Caenorhabditis elegans: one gene and its partners. The protein of the gene in region 2 purifies or fractionates together with the protein of the main gene of each other region. This does not show direct contact. Each region holds a gene or a part of one and is shown on either strand. Other genes may lie near its edges. The genes, in order: F29B9.5, prcc-1 and igcm-4.

What was found.
Region 1: the proteins of prcc-1 (region 2) and F29B9.5 fractionate together in Caenorhabditis elegans (co-fractionation; one large-scale study listed by BioGRID). This does not show direct contact.
Region 3: the proteins of prcc-1 (region 2) and igcm-4 fractionate together in Caenorhabditis elegans (co-fractionation; one large-scale study listed by BioGRID). This does not show direct contact.

Annotation. Positions count from the first base shown.
Region 1 is NC_003282.8:4,646,874-4,653,668, forward strand, and holds F29B9.5 (Thioredoxin domain-containing protein), read left to right. Parts: upstream 1-5,541; 5' UTR 5,542-5,585; coding exon 5,586-5,666; intron 5,667-5,715; coding exon 5,716-5,781; intron 5,782-5,835; coding exon 5,836-5,981; intron 5,982-6,035; coding exon 6,036-6,198; 3' UTR 6,199-6,295; downstream 6,296-6,795. Other genes in the region: F29B9.8 (Serpentine Receptor, class T), read left to right, coding at 813-963, 1,150-1,363, 1,420-1,485, 1,540-1,599, 1,648-1,788, 2,017-2,179, 2,228-2,366, 2,412-2,623; F29B9.7 (Pheromone-regulated membrane protein 10), read left to right, coding at 2,891-2,931, 2,981-3,127, 3,194-3,271, 3,321-3,404, 3,506-3,619, 3,667-3,730; ubc-9 (SUMO-conjugating enzyme UBC9), read left to right, coding at 4,186-4,239, 4,365-4,487, 4,622-4,712, 4,758-4,911, 4,968-5,046; psr-1 (JmjC domain-containing protein), read left to right, coding at 6,420-6,458, 6,512-6,678, 6,734-6,795.
Region 2 is NC_003282.8:13,089,327-13,096,731, forward strand, and holds prcc-1 (Proline-rich protein PRCC), read right to left. Parts: upstream 4,470-7,405; 5' UTR 4,431-4,469; coding exon 4,365-4,430; intron 4,307-4,364; coding exon 3,803-4,306; intron 3,071-3,802; coding exon 2,510-3,070; intron 2,058-2,509; coding exon 1,971-2,057; 3' UTR 1,861-1,970; downstream 1-1,860. Other genes in the region: spin-2 (Major facilitator superfamily (MFS) profile domain-containing protein), read left to right, coding at 64-158; col-132 (Nematode cuticle collagen N-terminal domain-containing protein), read right to left, coding at 317-1,009, 1,604-1,741; C39E9.12 (SAP domain-containing protein), read left to right, coding at 4,685-4,819, 4,864-5,014, 5,061-5,798, 5,848-6,053; rfc-3 (Replication factor C subunit 3), read left to right, coding at 6,443-6,618, 6,663-7,374.
Region 3 is NC_003284.9:2,042,631-2,050,035, reverse strand, and holds the start of igcm-4 (receptor protein-tyrosine kinase), read left to right. Parts: upstream 1-3,675; 5' UTR 3,676-3,853; coding exon 3,854-3,857; intron 3,858-3,883; exon of another isoform or gene 3,884-4,030; intron 4,031-4,111; coding exon 4,112-4,201; intron 4,202-6,702; exon of another isoform or gene 6,703-6,781; intron 6,782-7,329; coding exon 7,330-7,405.

The DNA of each region.
Region 1 (6,795 bases), 8.4 Mb from region 2:
CTTTTCGAAAAATTTTAGAAAAAATTTTAATAACTGTCAAAAAGTGGCAAATACTCAGTTTTTGCCATTCCTAATTTTGGAAGTCGAGCAAAAAATTGTTTTTTTTTCCCTACATTTTTACATTGTAATTTGTTTTAATTTTTGTACTAAAACATTGTAGGGGTCGGAACATGCGACATTGCTTTGGATTTTCTCAAAAGCTCATTTTTTCAAAATTTTGGCACTTTGACAAAACTTTGACCGGAAATTATGAAAAATCTAATATTTTTTGGAGGGTTTTATTATGCTATTCGGTTGTTTTCAATCATTATAAGTGCATTTAGATAAAATTCCCACTGGCGCTACTCCACCTTTATTTTGAAACTAGCTAACTTAAGATGTATCGTGAAAATTTTGAATGGGAGAATAATTTTCAGAGAATTTTAAAAATTTATTTGCCTTCTGAAAAATCTTTCAAAACACCTCATTCATAACCTACTTCAATTATTTTTCTATTGATTAGCAAAGTTTGGCCAGACCAGTAGTTTTTTGAACGGTTTTTGAATAACAAGTTGAACTGTCGTCGCCCCTTGTTCTGACTTCAAGTACCTGTAACTTTTCTCAATTGAAAAAAAAGTTAATAAAATCTATGCCTTTTGCGCTTGTTTTTCAAAAACTTGTCACCTGTTTTCCAAAGGTTTCCATAGCGACCCTGCTTTCTAAAAGTTCTATGCTCCGATAACCTCATTATTTTTTGACAAACCTATATTTTTTTCAATCTTATTTTTCCCTACGACTTGATCAGCTTAATTCCTAACCAATACAATTTCAGAATGTCAGAAGAGACACTCGATTTCAGTGGGTCGATGCCTGAGGAGGTGCAAACTCTTCTCACAAATTCGGAGATGGATCCAGGACTTTTGTCGAATGAGACAGCAACCACGATGATCACAGATGTGATTAGTACAACCACAACCACATTGGGTAAGTTTTAGATTACCTAGTTTTGCCGACGCTGTGTTTTTCTTAACGGAAAATAGTCCTCTGTACGAGCTCGATGCATCGAATTTGACGTGCAAGTTTTATACCAACAGTATTGTTGACCGCGTTATTCAAGAACTGGAAGCCAGAAACTTTCAACAAAGTTTTTTCTAACTATTCAATTTTCAGCCCCCGTCCTTATCGGCTACCAACCTAACCCATTCCGCATTGGACTCCTCGCCTTCAAATGCCTGCTCATTATCCTAATCTTCACTTTATCCTGTACGATTCGTAAGGACTTCTTCAAGTTCTTCGTTCTCTTCCTTATCATCCCACTGTTTATCGAAGCTGGATTTGATATCTTCACCGAGATTCACGCCAGTACAGCGATCTTTGGGGCTCAGTGAGTTTGAGAAGCATTTCTTTGAACATATTCATTATTATTCAACTAGTTTTCAGACAGTTTGACTGGCAATACCTAAACCTTTCACCACGAGCGAACGACACTGTGACTGATTGGCAGAAGTGAGCTAATTTTAGATTTTACATTTGTCATACAACCAGTTTTCTATTTTTTAGGTATGCCGTCGACGGGTTCGGAGAGATCCTTCAAAAGTACACAACTTACCAGGTGTACACGTAAGATCGTTGAGTAGATCTAAAAGATTTTAATGACATAGATTCCAGGAAGGATCAACTCTTCTCGATCGTATCCTATGTCGCCGGTGATTTTATCTTCTGGAGTCTGCTCTTTTCGACTTACACGGTCTTTTTCTTCGCTCACAAGGCGATTGCACGTCCAGAGCAGATCACTTACGAGCCGATTGGGTAGGTTTGTTTTGCTAGGAAAGCTTCCACGATGTACAGGCGCTTAGGCATGCCTAGGCAGTCGCAATTTTTACCAGTTTTCTGGAGCACATCCCAGCTTGCTGGTGTGCTTCTCCATCTTTCTGGCACACTTCTCCTCCACTCAAAAGCAGTCAAACTTCTTTATAACGCACTTAATCCCCTTTTCTTACAAATAAAAAAAACAATTTAAAAAAAAACAATTTTCAGCAGTGTCTTCTTCAAGGCTCAAATCACTCCGGTAATCTTTACCGCCTTTGACACTCTCATCTCGATCTACCAAATTCCACAATGGGCTTATCTCAGCATCATTTCCAGCATCAGACTCACTGCGTGTATTGTCTCCTTCGGCATCGTCACCCAGATGTTCGCTGTGAGTTTCAGATGTCTTTCAGTACTAGAAGCATAGAATTGATTTCAGAGTCTCTTCTTATTCTGCAGAAGAAAGGACGAGGTGACGAAGACTTCTCCATATGAGCACGTGAGAAACAGCAAACTCCGTTTGTTCTTGTTCCTATTATTCAGTATCTGTGTTCATGTGCTTACGGCTCCTTATCTCAGTAAGTAACAGTTAGCAGACCTAGTGAAACCTTAGATCCTTTCAGTCTGGTCCGGATTGACCATCGCTTTTGACGTCGGTCAGCTTCTCGGCTTCAACTGGTACCTCCCAATGCACTTTGCTTCCGAGATGTTCCCACTTCATCTGACCTTCTTCTTGCTCAGACCCTTTATCTTCCTAATTCTGGCTCTGATCCTCCTCAACCCATACCGCCGTCGTTTTGTCAAATTCTTCTTCCCGTGTTGTAGAAGACATTAGGAACGATCTTTTATTTTTTTTCTGTAATTATTGCTTCCAACTCTTCTTTTTTGCGCCATAATTCTAAACCCCTGTGCCATTGGGCGCCCCCTCAGAAGCCCGGTGCTCCTTCGTTTTTTCTTTGTTTTGTTTTTTTTCAAATCGGAAATATCGCTCTCTCAGAAATTGTGATAAATAGTACACGTTTTACACGTTCCATATGTGCCTTGCCTTACAATTAAAAAATGAATAAATTTTTTTCAAATTTAAATCATTCTTATTTTTACGATGAGTTCGAAAAGTGGTGTTATAGAGTTTCCGGAAGACAAGTGAGTTTTTAATTTTTATTTATAAATTTAAATTTTTGACTCTTTGAAGCAAATTTGTGCATACAAATATGGCTGATTACACTACGGAATTGCTTGATGGTAGTGAGTCAACTACAAAGAGTACAGCAACAGACGAACCACCTAATCAATTGTTTTTGTCATCGTTGCTTTTCTTGAGCTCTGCGATTTGTTCTCTGTGAGCTCACTAGCTATTTTCTACAATTAAACAATAATGGAAAACCAAAATAAAATTTTATTCCAGATTCGCAGCTTCAATTCTAGTTCGTAGTTTTCCATTTTTCGGTTCTACTCTCTCTTTGGTGATCATTCTAGTAACTAGGTTGGCTTTGTTCATCAAGAAAAATAGATCTAATTGGAACATTTTCTAGAGAATGGAATAGGATATACGGTGGACTTTTGAGTCCAAATCTGAAAGCAACAATCAACTATTCGACCGTTATGAGAGATCACAGGTACATCTGAATTCTAGAAAATCACCTATTGTATATATATCCTATATATAGGCATATATTTTGACACTTAAAATAATTAAATTTCCAACTTTCTAATTCAGAGAATACATTCCGTTATACGACATGGACTGGTTGTTCGGAGGAAGATACAAGCCGTACTATTATGGATGCACGGGACCTTCGAACAATCCGGACATGGAGAGAACGCCTGATGAGTGAGAAAAAAGTTTTTTATTTTTTGAAAACGTTATCATTTTTGCAGCCCCGGAAGTCGTTCGCCGACGAAAGAGCGCAAGGAAGGAGAGGTTTTGAAGAAGGATGACTGACTGGGCACTCTCATTCTCACACATTTTGCCGCGAATAAATATTATTTGAATTTCGCGCCCTTCGAATTTATAATTTTCTTGAATATTCTTTTGTGTGCGCGCGAAAACTGCGAACCGTTTTGTAATTTTCTGTTGCATTCTGTCGAAATTAGTTTTCGTGTGCGACACCATTGCGAAATCGCGCGCCGCACTATGCAATTTATTGATCGATAATACGGGCGGTGCTCGCCCCCCTTTTCGTTTTTTGGCGCGATATCCTATTTTTGAACTTTTTCGAGAAATTTCTCTTTCTTATCGATCGGATTTCTGTTTGAAAAATCTAAAATAGTTCTGACAAGTGTCACGAACACGCTGTTTCGTTTGTTTACCTCTCTCTTCTTTTCTCGTTGTGCCTAAAACTTCACTGTCCACTTCTCTTTTACAAATTTGATATTTTTCAGTGTAACCGAACAAAAATGTCGGGAATTGCTGCAGGACGCCTCGCGGAAGAAAGGAAACACTGGCGAAAGGTGAGAATTTTATCATTACATGGCAAGTCGGGGCGATTTGTATTACAAAACCGCTTTAAATCGGTTAAATTCTAAAAATTATCGAAAAATAGTTTGTTTTCATGCCCAAAACTCAACATTTTCAGGATCATCCATTCGGATTCATTGCCAAACCAGTCAAGAACGCCGACGGAACATTGAACCTCTTCAATTGGGAATGTGCAATCCCAGGGAGAAAGGATACGATTTGGGAAGGCGGATTATACAGAGTATGTGAAGCTAGAATTCGGAAATTATCATTTTTCGTTAATTTATTGAGCTATAATATTCGTGAACTGTTTCTCTCAAAAACTGCTATTTGGAATACAACGATATTTATAAATCTAATTCAATTTTCTTTCAGATTCGGATGCTCTTCAAGGACGATTTCCCGTCAACGCCACCAAAGTGCAAGTTCGAGCCACCACTCTTCCATCCAAATGTGTACCCATCAGGTTATTATTGCAGTCCAATAGTTATAATTAATTAATTGAATTCAGGTACCGTGTGCTTATCTCTTCTGGATGAAAACAAGGATTGGAAGCCGTCAATCTCAATCAAGCAACTTCTCATTGGAATTCAAGATTTGCTGAACCATCCAAATATTGAAGATCCAGCTCAGGCTGAAGCCTATCAGATCTACTGTCAGAATAGGTGAGTTTTTTTTATCTGAATATTATAAAAAAAATACACAAATGAATTTATTACAGGGCTGAATATGAGAAGCGAGTGAAGAAGGAAGCTGTGAAGTATGCTGCCGAACTCGTCCAGAAGCAAATGCTCGAGTAGATGCTTGCTTCGTGGTAGTCGTCTATTCTATTCTCCTTTTTCCTCCCATCCTCATTTCATTTAGTTAACTATTTCTGTATGCGGCAACGATTGTTGACACAACTCGAAATTCGAGCACCGAAGCAACTTTTCTGATATCTTTTATTTCAATCTAACCAAAAGCTTTGTCGTGCCTGGTTTTTCATTTCGTGGTTGATGAAATTCGAGAGCTAGAACATTTCGATGACTTTTTCCAAATTTCGTGTGCACGCAAACCCAATCATTTTCCACTGGTCCATGGGCTGAGTAGTCTTTATTCTTTCAAAAGACTATTCCTCATCATTCTTACTCATTTTGATCTTCATCTTTCTTTTTATCCCGTTCTGTTTTCCATCTCTTTTCTCTTCCCCCCAATTCTCTTAAAATCAGGAGCACAATTTAATTGTTGACAAATCCCGTGTATTCCAATTTTCTAAATGGACTTGATTATATTTTTTTTCCCTCAACTTATTTGTATTTTGCAACTCAACCATGAACTGTTCATGTCAGATTCTCCAACAATGTCCGAATTCATGAAAGGTGTGATGCTTCTGAAGCAAGACTTGACTGAAGTTCCTGCCGAAGAAGCTCTGAAGGGCAAGGTGGCGAAATATTAGTGTGTAGTGAAAGATTTTAGAATATGACATTTAGGTTGTTGCTCTTTATTTTTCCGCGGGATGGTGTCCACCGTGTAAGCAGTTCACTCCGAAGCTAGTTGTGAGTGCTGAATCTAGATTTTCCGATTTTCCAATGAGTTTCCACACCCTTCAGCGCTTCTACCATCATCTGAAGAAGGCTGGAAAGCCCATCGAAGTGGTTTTCTTCTCTCGTGATAGATCAAAGGCTGATCTTGAAGAGAACTTCACCGAGAAGCACGGCGATTGGCTCTGCGTCAAGTATGGAGACGACATTTTGACGTGAGATTTATCATTTTTAATTTCAGAGTCTCAAAAATAAATCATAATTTTCAGACGATATCAATCAAAGTTCGAGATCAAGACGATCCCAGTGCTCCGAGTGATCAACGCAGCCGGCAAGATGGTCGTTGTGGATGGGAAGTCGGAGGTCGTCGACAAGGGAAAAGCCGACCCACAGGGACTCTTCGCTGCGTGGGAGGCAGCATGCAACAAGTGAAAATGTATATAATTATTTTCCATTTATTTAAACATTTATCTAGTAATTTTTTAAATAGATTTTTCCTACTAATAAATAATTAATTATCACGTAAATATTTATATTTTAATAGTTTTTCTCTAGGTTTGCCCGCCCTAGATTGTACCTGCCACGTCAACTGGATCAGAGCTCTGGTGAGATAAAAATGAATAAGTTTCGGCATTTCTATTTTAATAGACGACATGTTGTCGTTTGCCACAGAGTTTTTGGACGATATGAAGGTTTTTTTTAATGAAATGTATTGTTTCAAAAAAAAAATCAATGTTTTTTTCAGAGACAACTAATGTCATTAGGGCGAGATAGATACTCATTACCGCGTACTTATAAACGGGTTTCACATGCGAAGGACAAAGCGAGACCGGAGCTGAGAAAGTTCGGATGGGAGACTCTGGGATACTCGGAAAGCTTTAATCTGCCTCCATTTAGGGATAGTATTCAAAGGTTTTTTTTAGAGCTTCAGATTTCAAAATCGAGGAATTTAAATTTAAAATTTCAGAGTTGATGGGAATAATCTTACCGTGGAGGAGTTCCGCCGAGATTTCGAAAGACCGAGAATCC
Region 2 (7,405 bases):
GTTGTTCTTGTATGGTGTCGGGGAAACGTATATTTTAGTCAGCTATTATTGGAATTATTTCAGGTCTCGATGATCTTCAATCCAAGCCGATTCGAACATCAACTGACAGTTTGGAACGGATTGGAATTAACGACGACGTTGCGTCGTCCCGACTTTAATTCCTCCTTGATTTCATTGCTTTAATGTCCATAATTTGGGTTTATGTATTTTTAGAACAACGGGTTTTTTGTCGTTTTTGTGAAGATTTTTGTAAACTGCTAATTTTTATTGTATAAATAAAAACTCTTTTAAATAAAAAAAAATGTTTCGGAATAAATTAGAAGACAAGACGTGCCGAACGAAGTGGACAGCTACAGTAGGCTGCATCAGGTCCTGGGATTCCAGGTGGTCCTTCAGGTCCTGGCTCCCCTTCGTCTCCCCGCTCTCCATCCAATCCTGCTGCTCCAGGTGGTCCCTCTTCCCCTTCTGGCCCAGGAATTCCTGGCTCTCCATCCTTGCCTGGGAGTCCTTCAGCTCCTGCAACACCCGGTGCCCCTGGTGCTCCTGGCATTCCTATCTCTCTGATTCCACTGGCGCCTGGTCTTCCATCGACACCTGGCTCCCCGTCTTCTCCTTGATCTCCAGCATCTCCAGGTTCTCCCTCGACACCTGGTGGTCCATCATGTCCAACTTCAAAGTTGTCAACTCCCGGTGGTCCTGGTGGTCCCTGCTCTCCTGGCTCTCCGTCTGGACCTGGAGGTCCTGGCTCTCCGACTGGGCAGCGAATGCATGGGGGTCTTTGATAGATGAGGGATTGATCAAAGAGTGGAAAGTCTGGTCCGGGTTGTCCTGCGTCTCCATTCCATCCGTCATCTCCAGGGGCTCCTGGCTCTCCTGGTGGTCCTGCAGGTCCGGGTGGGCAGTTATTGACCTTATTCATGCATCCACACTTTGATTCTCCACTTCTCTTTTGTCTTACGACGGAGCGATTGATTTCGATCATATCATCCCAGGCTTCAGTTGCGAACTTCTGAAAAATTAGGCCAGATTGATGAAAAAAATTGCCGCGTCGTGAGCCGTGAGTCGTGAGCAATTATTTCAAAAAAAAAAAACTTTGATAATATTTTTCGAATCAATGTTATCTTTAACTATACTATTGCAGTTTCAGAGACTTTAATGTTTTTCCACAAGGAACACTTGGTATTCCGCATAGTTTCTTATTATCCCACACGAGAAATTTTGTGCATTTTGAGCTGAAACTACGGTCACCGGTCTCGACACGAAAAACTTTTGTTAAATAAAAAAGGTGTGCGCCTTTAAAGAGTACTGTGTTTTCGTTGCTACGTAATTTGTATCTGGTTTTTCACAGTTTTTCTCATGAATTTACGTGTTTTTATTGTTATATTTGCCAAAAAACTGTGAAAAAATCGATAATTTTTGCTCTTGCAGAACTTTCATCGATTGTTTTAAAAATAGTTATTTGTTAAAAATTATATACAAACACGCGGAAAATCGATTAAAATTCTGCAACAGCACAAGTTTGAAACTACAGTAACCTTTAAAGGCGCACGATTTTTCTTGGATTTAACGAAAAATTGTCGTGTTTTTTACAGAAAAAACTCACATTGAACTCTGCCACGTCATCAAGTGCCGTGGAATAAAAAGTCCGAAAATCTGCGAAAATGAGCAGCCCCGCTGTAATATACCCGACGACGAGTATCGACGAAACCGAGACGGCTGCGCAAATGAAGTTGTTCGACATTTCAGACAATCTCTGCCTGTCCTCCTTGCCTTCCAATCGGCCTTATGTACTCTGCCGGCTAATGCCCGTTTAACGAGCGATCGCGCAATTTTCTCATCATTATAACGTGCTTATACTTTCAAAACGAATGAATTCATTTCGTGTTTATATGGGTGTTTATCATCAAAACAACACACAAATACAAGGGAGAGAGAAAACTGAATGATTAATGAGACATTTCGAAATGATATTAGAATCCGTACTTTTGTCGCGCCATTCGCTTCGATTGCTTCTGATCGGCCCATTGATCTTTGAGCTGCTCCTCGCGGGATACTGCCTGAAATTAAGTGAATTATGTGATTTCTAGCACAAGCTCTTAAAAAGTGTTGATCTACGCAGATTTCATACTCCACGAGGACAACTTTGCACTTTTGTTTGGCTAAAATCGGGTTTTTCGATTTTTTTAAAATAAATTGTTAATTTTGAAAAAAAAACTGTATTTTTGTAATTGAAATCAATTGATTTTGCATTTTCGGTGAATTTATATTTTTCTCGTATTTTTCCGTAAAATTATTGTTTCCGATTTGTCGGTTTTCGAAAAAATTGAAAATTTTCGTTTTTTTTTAAATCTTCAATTTTTTGAAGACCGAATATTCCATCAAGAAATTCAGCCAAAAAATGAGAAATAAGTTTTAAAAAATTGACTTTTCCATTCTTTCGCGATTTTTTTTTTGGGTTTTTGATGCAAGTAAAAGCCTGAAAATCTATAAAATCTGGAATATCTCTTACCAAGCTGGCCAAATACGTAATTTGATGCTTTCTTCTCGACATTTGTCCTTGAGTTTGAACTTGTGGCAATGGAGCAGAAGTTGCTTCAACAAATGCGCGATGTCCAAGATTCTTGATAATATTTGTCTTAACATCCGGTCCGAGAGCATCATCCACATTCACATCGACAATTGAATTGGCCATTTCGTTGATCGAACGACGTTCTTCTTGTCCAATATCATGAGAGAATCGCATCAAAAGCTTATGAGCTTGCTCGTCATTGATCTTCCGATGAAGCCAGGCATTTGAAGCAGATGGACCTTCTTGAACATCTTCTTCTTCTTCTGGCATTTCATACATTTGTCGAGGATCCATTCCTTCATCTGGACGGGATGGCCCAACTACATCCATGCTGCTGTTCATTGTCATATATGGAATTTCTGATGGAATTTCTGATTCTTTTCTAGTTGGAGCAGATGAGAAACCGAAGAAATCGGTTGGACCGTCATCATCGTCATCACTGTCGTCTGGCAGTTTTGGAGCTGGAGCCGGCTTGAAAACTGGAGCAGCAGCAGGTGTAGCCTGGAAGAGAAAGAGTTTTAAAATTAAAGTTTTAAATTAAATAAAAATTCAGTGAAGAAATCTGGAAATTTTATCCTGATTTTTAATATTTATGGGGACAAAAATCGAACAAAAATTCCCCGGTTTTATATTTTAGCTTGAAACAGCGAATTTTCGCGCCAGAGACGCCGTGTGTCGATTTACGAGATTTGTGTATATTTACAAGATTTTCAATCTTTATCGGATGCTGATTTCTGTTTTTCAACGAGTTTTCTTTATTTCCGTCGGTTTTTGACAAAATGTTTTGAGAAAATGTGTTTATTAAGGCCAATTAAACATTATATTATCAAAAAACCAAGTAAATTTCCAATGCTTAGGTCACAACTCAGCGGAAAATCCAAATATATGCTTTTCCTGACTGAAAATCGAATATTTAGTTAGTTTTTTGATATTATAATGTTTAATTAACCTCAAAAAAAAACACATTTTCAAAAAACGTTTCGGCAAAAACTGACGAAAATTGAGAAAACCGGAAATCAGCATCCGATTAAGATTGAAAATCTCGTAAATATACACACATTTCGTAAATCGACACATGACGTCTCTGGTGTGAAAATTCGGAAATCTCATGGGGACGCAAATGAAAATCGGCGATTTCAAGCTGAAATAAGAAATTAGGGAAATTTTTTTACTTAGTTATTCGAAATCAGAAGTATATTTTCTCAGAATCCGCACTCGACTTTCAATTTTTACCTTTTTAGAAACTGAATGTGGAACCATGGACTTATCGAATACATTTGCACCATCTGAACGATTATCTCTTCCTTTTGGAGCTGGAAGGTTTGACAAAAAACTGTTTCCAAGCTTCGGCTTAACTGTAGCAACAGCAGCACCTTCATTATCACTGTCATCGCTGGAATTTTCGCCAGTAATTCCTGCGAGAGCTCCGAACGCCGAAATTATAACTTTTCCTTTTGCTTTTTGAATTCCACCACCAATTTTCGGAATTTTTTCAACTTTCATCGCTTTTTTCGCCAATTTTTTCTCCTTTTTTCTCTCTTCTTTTTGTGCTTTTTTCAGAGCTTTTTTCTCCAGCTTTCTCCTTGCTTTCTCGGCCAATTTAACCTCCCATTCTTTCGGTTTTACTAATTCTTCGAGAACATCTTCTTTGTTCATGTTTGGTGAGCTTGATTTTTCTGTATTGTCAAAAAATGCTTCATCATCGACGAGTTGTTGATTTTGTGGAGCGAGTGAATTCTGAAATTTTGGAAAATTCGAAAATGTTTTCAAACTGAATAAAGAATAATTTGCTTACTTTTTGTTGTGTTTCCATTTCTTCATCACTTTCTGATTCACTTCCTGCGTAATCCACAAGGCCCATTTTGAGAAGAATTCTTCGAAGAAACGAATAATTTCAGACGAAATAAACAATACGAATATTGATTTCTTTATTCGAGAGGACTACACACAATAAGAAAGCAACAGCGCTCCAACGTACACCGCGCGAAAAACACAATTTTTCAAACAGCGATGGAGGGAAATTTCTTGAGTCCTATTTTGTTTCTTGTTCATTTGTTCCTTGTTTCATTTGCTTTTCTGTTCTCACTATTCAATAAAAATAATAATTTCAGTAAAATGTCAGCCAAAAATAAAGAGCTCGCCGAAGAGGACGTGCTCAACATGACATGCGACAAGCTTCGCAAGGAGTTAAAGAAGAAAAGGGCTTCGACTGCGGGAAAGAAATCGGAACTTCAATCGCGTCTTTTGGAGGTTTGAACTCAGTCGAAACAATGTGATTAATTTAACTTTTTCAGTTTCTCGCTGGCCAAAATAATGCCGGAAACGGGGAGGCAATCAGGGAAGAGCCGGAAGCCGAGGCTATGGACACCGACGAAGCACCTGCCAATCGCACATTCACAGTTGAAGAGGAAGAAGAAACTGAGAATACTACTGGCAGATTTGTTCGTAAGTTATATTCCATTTAGTTGAAATTTAAACAGCTTTATTACAGACGAGAATACTCCGACAAATGCGGTTGCTGTCGTTTTGGATGATGACTTGAGAAACCGTCTCTGTGGCAGTTTGGGAATCGATCTGCAAAGCTTCGAGGTGAAGTCACGCCCGAGAGTTCATCGTCTTTCGACAAGACTGTCTCTCCGCGCTAGTTCGTCGACTCCTCAAACATCTGAGCGACCAGGAATGCCGATCGAGAACAGAGGAATTACGCCAGTTCGTCAGCGTGCTCCATCCAGTGGAAGAGACAGATTCGCAATGATTCATGCAAGAGAGATGGAAAAAGAAGAAACACTCGGAGAGCGTCAAGAACGATTGAAGAAACGACACGAATTCATGACCGGCGACGTCCCAGAAGCTATCAGGAGACTTGCTACCCCGAAAAGTGTGCCAAGACGTGACCCAGTTGATAGATCAACTACAAGATCTGCTGCGCGCAATTGGCAAGTTCAGGATCCTGAGAAAATGTCCTTCCAATTCGGGGATAAATCTGCTGATGATTTTCCCGCTCTTGTCAGCTCACGAGCTGGCTGCTCATCGTCATCTGCTGCCACCACCTCTACCAAAAAGACAAAGTCCGTTGCAAGATCTCATGTGGACGTGAAGAAGCTCACCAAGTCACAAATCCCGAAACCATGCCGTTTAACTTCTCGAAAAATCATTCCTGCAACTGTCCCAGAAGATGATACATTCACCGAGTACATTTCCACGCCAAAAGGAACCACTCCAACTAGAGGTAACTATTCATATTTATCTTTTTTTCGCTAATTCATAGCAATTTTTAGTTCCACGACGTGCTGGTTACACACCACACTCTACGAGAAAAGTGTTCGTCGACACGACTCAATTGACGGATCGCGAGTTCACTTTGGCACTGGAGGAAGGATTAATCCCCGGAAGAGCTGCCACGAACCTCGAGAAACAACAAGTGGAGAACAAGAAGCGCCGTGACGACATTATCGCACTCAAGCGTAAAATGAATATCAAGTAGATATCTCAATTATTTTCTTATTTATCTTCACTCACTCGTCTCACTAGGCTAAACCTGTAAAATATTTCGTTGTTGACTTGTCGAGTTTCTGAAAATGAATTCTTTTAATTTATTACAATTCTCTTTATTTATTTTCTATTTATTTATTCCTCTATTCAATTGTTTGCGACAATTGTGATATCTTTGAATATGTCTTTTAATTTTTTTAGCAAGAAATATACGGTGGATCCGGATTCCCGAAGCGCAATTCGCGGCACGGTTTAATTTTTTAATTTACCATAAAAGCGCGTGCCGCGGAATTACTTTTCGGGTTCCACCTTCTATTTCTCGCGCTTATTTTGGACTTTAATTACTCTGACAATATAATATTAATCTTTTCTAGTGCAAAAATGGCGTTGTGGGTGGACAAATATCGACCAAAGGACTTGTTGGGAAAGGATGGCGTTGATTATCACATCGAGCAGGCCAATCATTTGAAGTTTCTCTCCGCAGACTGTATGCCGCATCTCTTGTTCTGTGGTCCCAGTGGAGCTGGAAAAAAGACACGGATCAAGTGTCTGTTGAGGTTTAATTATTGGTAAATTCAGTAAATAAAATAATATTTTTCAGAGAGCTTTACGGTGTTGGAGTCGAGAAAACGCAGCTCATCATGAAGTCGTTCACTAGTCCGTCGAATAAAAAACTTGAAATACAGACTGTCTCGAGCAATTATCACATCGAAATGACGCCGTCTGATGTTGGAATCTATGATCGAGTTGTTGTGCAGGATCTCGTTAAAGAAATGGCACAAACGTCTCAAATCGAATCAACTTCTCAAAGATCGTTCAAAGTTGTCGTTCTTTGTGAAGCGGACTCACTGACTCGTGATGCTCAACACGGACTTCGTCGAACTATGGAGAAGTACGCGAATAACTGTAAAATCGTTTTGAGCTGTGAATCCCTGTCCCGTATCATTGAGCCACTTCAATCTCGTTGCATCATCATCAATGTGCCAGCTCCAACCGATGAAGATGTGACCAAAGTCTTGCGGAAAGTGATTGAACGGGAGAGCTTTCTACTTCCGGAGAACGTTTTGCAAAAGATTGTGGAGAAGTCTGAAGGAAATCTGAGAAGAGCTATTCTGATGACTGAGGCTTTAAGAATGGAGAACGAGAGTGGTGTGGCTGAAAGTGTAGTAATTCCGGTTCCGGAATGGGAGATTTATATCCAAGAGACTGCTCGTCTGATCCTCCAGAAACAGAGCTCCGATATGCTTCTGAAAGTTCGCGAACGATTGTACGAATTGCTCTCCAGATGTATTCCACCAACTGTCATTTTTAAGGTGAGTTATAAGCACACAAATAGTATAAAAT
Region 3 (7,405 bases), on a different chromosome or scaffold from region 2:
TGAATATTATGAGAGAGTGCCTGAAAACTGGAATTGTTTTTCAGTTTAGCAGTGCTCCGTTACAGTCTAAAAATGTGCTAAAATTAACGAATTTCATATTGAAATATTCAAAAAACAATTTCTAACATTTTTTATGGCGGTTCAAAATATCAACAAAAAAACTAATTTTGGCTAAAATTAGACCATTTTTCTTGATCCGAATAAAAATTGTTTTTAAATTTTTTGACAAGTTTCTTTTGAAAATTCATGCATTTAAGCACAGTTTTGCTATATTCCTTTCCTAAATTTTTTTCCGAATTTTTAAAAATCTAATGTTGTCTGAATATTTAAAAAATTCCCATTTCTCAAAAAAATCTCACTATTATAATCAAACAAGTAAACACTAGTTTTATCTTGCGATAAAAAATATATGTGCATAGGTTCTAGTAAACTAATTTGATGTCAGAAAATTGAGACAATTTGAAAATTATGCACTTTATTCCTCCAACTTGAGTCTAACTATAGAGACATGTTGAAATGGTTTTAGCCTTGGGTTTCACTAATTTGCTTTGTTACGGGACTACTTTTTTCAAATAGTTTTTCAAATGTTTTGTTGCGTTTTTTGCAATAATTGTTAGGGATTTGAAATAAAAACCTGAAAAAAAAATCCTGAAATCCTTGTTTCAAAACACTTCACAAAATTTCGTAATTTTTTCGCAACTCATTGAAGAATAAAAATTATATTTGTTTTCTCCAAAATTTGTATTACACAAATTGAATCTTTGCTGTAGAATATCAGAGTTTCACCATCTAGATTTTCTTCGCAGTAAATTCAATTTGATGCAATTCGCAGTGTTAGAAGTCGTACCCTAGTACTCCACGCTTTTTCACATGAGATTATTTTGTTCTGTGTTTTAGTTTTCTCTCCATTCATAATTAGTTGTTATCTTTTGTCCATCTGTTGTGTTGTTTCATCCAACCGCTTCCCATATGGCACTCTCGGGCTCTTCACCTGACTATGCAATTAGTGCATTATTCATAAAGAGTTGGTCCGGGAAGACAGACACCGCTGCGTGAAGCCGTCTTTCGTTTTCGTGCGGCACAACCCTTTTAGCACCTTATGTATATTTCCTGTTTTTACTTTCGACGGCCTTCTATTCAACTCAACTTATAGAACACATGTAACAATTGCTCCAACTGAGCTATCCTCTTTTTGCTCAAAGACCACTATTAAAGGAGGCTGTGGAAAATTTCGAACGTTAACACTCAAAAGTTGCTCAACAAAAAAAATTTAGTAATGACAATTGTTTTAATAATTAAAATTTTTAAAATACTATTTTTCGGTTTGAAATTCTTTAAAAAAAACTGGCTAATTTTAGCTAAAACCTGAAAGTTTTTTCCACTTTTATTGAATTATCATCTTTTGTTTCAAGTTTAATTGTTTATTTCACGTTATTCCGTTGATGAAGGTACATTTCAAGCGGGTAAGTGGCCAGTTTTTGTAATTTTTCAACGAAATAAAATGAGATGACGACCAAAATATGCAATAAAAAAAATGGTTATTTGAGGAAAGTTAACTTCCGCTTGTTGAATTGCTGGAAAAGGGGCCGAAATGGAGATTTTAGCTAAAATTAGGAAAATTAGGATTTCGTTCCCCCAAAATGTTTCAATTTTCTAAGTTTCAATTAACCACAAAAACGTGAACCTTTTGGAACGATTTGTAGAAATGAATGCTTTGTTCTTTACTTTTGTTCACGTTTTTTATTTAAAAATTTGAAAATAAAATTTTAGATATAAAAACATTATGTGGGGGGGGGGGGAGAACAAAACCCATAAGCATCAATTAGGATAGTTTTTTTGCCATAAAAAGGTTCAGAGAATTTTTTGAGAAGTTTCAATACGAAACTCGTTTTTTCGCGCAGATTTGGCGCTTTTATGTTCAAATTTCCCCCAAAGTATCGGTTTTTTTTGGGTTTTGTGCGCAAACCCGAAAAATCAAAAATCTGAAAAACTGTGAAAAGCCAAAAAAGTGTCTGAAACCCTGTAAAAAACGGGATTCAATGTTTATTTTCCGGTTTTCATACTATTTCATACAAGCTATTGAAATTCCAGTTTTTTATGACAATTGAGACCTCAATTATTTTTCGATTTCTAAGATTTTGAGCCCTACCGAAAACTCGGCAGGCCTAGCATTACCAACTCAAAACAATACCTGTGAATGCAATGTGATTCCACTTTCTTGGGGACCCCGTTGCGATGCGTATCTAGTATCACTTGAAACCTTGGTTGAAGTACGTAGAAGGAGTAGGTTCTTGAGGTGTGTTCTCCAGGTTGTATCACTAGACGGATGAGTGCTCACTTGTGTTATTCGAGCAGCGAAGAACAAACCTCTTCGATACTCTGTTTACGGTGTGGTGTCAGCTAACAGCTACCTGTCATGCGCGATAATATGCATTGTTTGACCTATTATTCTCAAGTTGAGAGAGTAGGCTGGGAAGTCGAAAATTGAAACTTGAGGTCAGAAATTCAAAATGTTTGTAGAATAAATTAATTCATATAAATACACCTATTAAATAATCTACACGCAAAAACACGCAAAAATAAAAAGGAGTCAAGTCATCAATAATGTTACAACCTCAAGCTGTCAGTTGTGAATGATTGAGCACATTGAGTTTTTGAATGATCACACTGAATTTCCGGATTATCTTGCCACTTTCATCTATATCTTCATTTTTCGCATTCTGCAAAACACCCTGTATGCTCGAAGCGTTATCCTATAAACAACTGTATGAACTTCCTCTTATTAATATTGCCATGTGTATCGAGCCTGCTTACATAGTCAGAAGCACAGTGGTCGTATTTGTATTTACATATTGGCTTAAGTTGTCTATTTGGATTATAGTTTTGTTAACATATGTCTTCTTCAGCACTGGCACTGGCCTTAATATTGTTAACTAGCTCATTAACAGGGAATAGCGCCAGTGAGGATTTTGCCTGAATACACCAAATGACATAATAAAACACTTCAAAAGTCAAAGTTTTGGCAAGGTGCCAAGTTTTCAAAAAATATGAGATTTTAAGTAAACCCAGAGAAATGTCGCGACACTGAAAATGTTTAAACAAAAATAATTTAACAAAAATTAAAGTATAAAAATCGTAATTTCCAAATTTTTTTTGGAAGAATTCACTATGATATTTTGACATTTTGGCACCAGTTCTAAGCAGTTTTCTTCACCTTCAAACGAAATATTTCTTAAACTAAAATGTGTATAAATTTTTTCTAATATCACCTGGAAATTCCCAATATAAAACTATGCATATTTTGTTAAATCTGTTAAAATATTGGCAGGAGGTAGAATACGAATTGAGATTAAATTCGGCACATTTTTTTATTAACACCTCATTGTCCACCTTCCTAACTAAAAACCACCTGTTTCAACTGCTCTCTAGGGATCTCCTTAATCCGGAAAACCTACAACGCCTGTCACTCACAAGAGATCCAAATCTCCCGTGTTCATCTGCCATACATGGGTAGGGAACTCACCGTGTATTTTTCCTCTCCTCCCATCGACTACCGAATGAGCTGACCATCTTCATTAACTGTCAGTGCGGGCGGACCGTCGTCTGCGTTTCTCGCCTTCTGACGCTCTCTCTTTCCCCCTAGCCACACCACTAGGCCCCACCCCCCACTCTCCCGCGGATGTACGCACATCGTAAATCAAAATTTCGCCAAGTTGTCGAGGCTATAAATCATTCTGCGTGTTTTGCGGCGTGTTCTTAACGAATTAACCGAAGAACGCCGGAAGTGATTTTAATGAACTTTTTGAAAATTTCTGCTAGTTTCTAAAGTATATTTGCAATTTTCAAGTTTGCAATGGGTGAGTAATAGTTATGCTTTGTTTTTTTCACTCAAATATTTTGATTCTCAACACTTTTCTTATCAGCTTTTCGACTCGGTAAATCGAATAGATAAAGCGATTAGTAAGGTGTTAAAGTAAACTAAAACTTAAAGCGACTCTTTCAAAATGCTAAATTTTCATTGACCTGCAATATTTTTTTCTCTATAAACTAATTTCTAGCATTTTTACTTTTACTAATTTTTTCTCCATATTTTTCAAACAATTTTTTTCAGATTCATTCAAAATGGGTGCCGTATTTTTGCTAATCATCACAATGGTCAACTCGGCAATCATTCGACCGCACGTTGAAGCAGCGCGTGGAAGTGAGTAAGGGGAGCGGGAAATAGTTGAATTGAATTAGCGTGGAGTGATGTTGAAAACGTAGATTACGCGTGCGCTCTTGACCCCCAGAATGTCAAGAGCTAATTTGCCATATGTACAGTTTTTGGCTTGTTTTTCGATGGTCCTTTGTGATTTCTAATTTCTAATTCCTAAAAAGCGTCCCGTATGTCGTTGGAACTAGTGTTTCGAAAGCTATAACCAAAACGAAAATCGAGTCGAAAGTCAAGCATTTTTGATTGACACTTTGAATCCCAAGAAGAAGAAGGATAGAGTCCGTCTTTTCTTGGGCCGGGGTAGGGTGTAAAAGTGAATCGAAATGAGACATGTTCTTGTCATTGCATAATTTATAATTTATAATTTATAATTTATAATTCATATTCATATGCTTCCCATTTCCGATTGGTTGACAAGATTAGACCTTCCGTTCGGTTCTTCCCATTGCCCATTGTTTCCCAAGTAGATACCATTTGATACGCATTTTTGATAACGAATGCGACGAGATACGATATGTCATTCACCTCGCCGTTATTATCTAACTGTAGAACACATCTCAAGGATGCCGGAGGGGGATTGCCAGAGCATAACGGAATACTACTGTTGATATATGATCTATCATATGTTATACTCAATACTTTGTATATTGCCACTCAAAAGATATGTATTTGAGTAGTGAAATGAAATAATAAAAGATGGCATTGGTAATTGGAGTGTATTACGTATTAGCAGAACAGAAAACTAAAGAACCCAACGAGCCATAATTACGCAATGCATTGACTGCCATTGCGCCACAACTCTCACCTAGAATTGTACTGCTCTTTGGCAGCTGTCCAGCATGGGGGGGGGGGGGGGGAGAGCCTCTTCTCACCTATTGTTCTTGTTGCCCACCGAGCACAACAGCAAAAGGAAATGGAAGACTAGACGCTCTTCTCCGTCTGTTGTATTCATCGCAACGACGACACTTAATTACAAATTTGAATCAAGTAAGAACGAGCACACGATTCGTTCGTTTAAGTGCATTTGCGGGGCTTTGGAGCACGTGTGAGGATGGCAGACGGGACGAATATTATTAAAAGATTTGCGAAAATTAATGATAATTGGCAATTTGCTTGTGGAAAGTAGTGTGAGAAAAGAATTAATCGTAAAAGAATTAGTTAAAAATCAGCAAAGATAGAACACAAATAGGATATTTTGTATAAAAGTCCAAAAGTTTGAAATTAAATCTTTTATTTATTCATTAGGGTTAACTAATCGTAATTCACATCAGGGCTGTGCGGCAATTTGTTTTGGTAAAAGTACACAATAGCTTACTTCAATATGAAAATCCAACTTTTTTAAATTCAAAATTGATATTAAAATGTATAGACAAATTTGATCTATGTATCAGAAAATTATATTTGTTTGTCGAAAAATTTTGGAATACTTCAGAGAGTGCCTGAAAATTTCCTGTTGCCGAAAAAGTGCCATTAAAAGTTTTTTGGCAAGCGGCACAGTTCAGGCACTATTTGAAATCTTTTACAACTTTTTCCAACAAATATGAATATTATTTTCAGATAAAACAAATTTTTTTCAATTTTTTGTACCAATTTTGAATTCAAAAAATTGCCGCAAAGCCCCATTTTTCTCTTGAGGGGTTCAAATATTATTTTTTAAAGGTAGAATAACGCCAATAAGGAAATGGTTAAAAACCACTCTTATGGGGCCAAAACGACCGAGTATCATAGTAAAACTTTTTAACCATTTTCGAAATTTTTTTATTGACAGTCAAAAATGGCAATTACTTGAGTTATTGCTACATTTTGAAAAAGAAAACTATAGCACTGTCACCCCTACATTGTCTGAATATTAGTATTTGAAACATAGGTAGTTTATAAAAATTGAAAAAAAAATTTTGATCGACGACTTCCAAAAAAGTGGCATAAAAGAGATTTTTCCTGTTTTCAAAAAATCATATAAAAGTTAGAATTTTTAAAAAATTGTTTTAATATGATATCTTGAAATTGTGGTGTTTTAAAGACATTTCCCTAAAAATTCAAAATCTGTTATACACAAATACCGTAGTAGGTAAAATTTTTCATCTTTACCGGCAAAATTTTCCATATCTAGACAGGATTTCTTCTCGATCCGATTAGTGCCCACCGATTCTTCTCAATTTTCCAACACTCTAAGAATAGAAGAAAAAGAAGAAACAGAGGGGCTTGGTGTTTCCGGTCATTTCCCGGAAGGGATCTTCATTAGAATTCCGTTCCAACGTCCTACTAATTGCAGTCTCAATTTTCAAATCTTGAATAAATTTCCATGGAGTGCTAGAGTTGTTCATGGCTCAAATTACGGCAGCTTTCCTGGCAATTAGGTGCCTTTTCATTACTTTTAGATCCCCGCGTGCGCGAGCAGCTGCATTGTGTTCCCTTTTACTAATGTTTACCATTCACGTGTCCATTGCACATTTTCAAGAGAGAGCTCAACGCCATTGCTCGATATATCCCACACACACACACACACACACACACACACACACACACACACACACACACACACACACACACACACACACACACACATACGCTCTAAAATACAATCCAAACAAATAAGTGGGATAAACATAGATATTTCGTAAGGGTGAATTCGTTTCGTTTCCTACACCACATGTAGGTTTAGTAGTGTTAATATCCATTCATGCATATACATTATTTTTGAATTGAAATGCCCTCAAGCATATATAATATTGTGCTGGGCAACTATTTCCAAAAACTTTTTGTGTATACATTTTTGCTGGCATCCTACTATGCGGTGAGGAGAGTAATTGAAAATGCAACACAATATACGGTACACGTCAAATCATGAACATCACCTGCCGTCTGACACAAGACAAGACAAAGAAACGATATTGGATAGTCTTAAAGGGCAGACCGGCAGTGTCAAATAATTGTAATAATGTAATTTAACACCACGGAGAAGAAAAGTCAGACACCTGTGCATTTCTCTCTTATTATTAACCTACAGATATAATAAGCGCTAATGGAGGGAGAGTGCATTCTAGAGACAGAGACAGTAATCTGACACAATAGAACGTCACCTAAGAATAATATCGATTTTAATATCATAATTTCAGTGCCCCCACGTATGCGCAATGTTGAGACCAAATTCCGTATCCCGCTGGGTCAGAAACAGTTCAGGCTGGTGTGTCC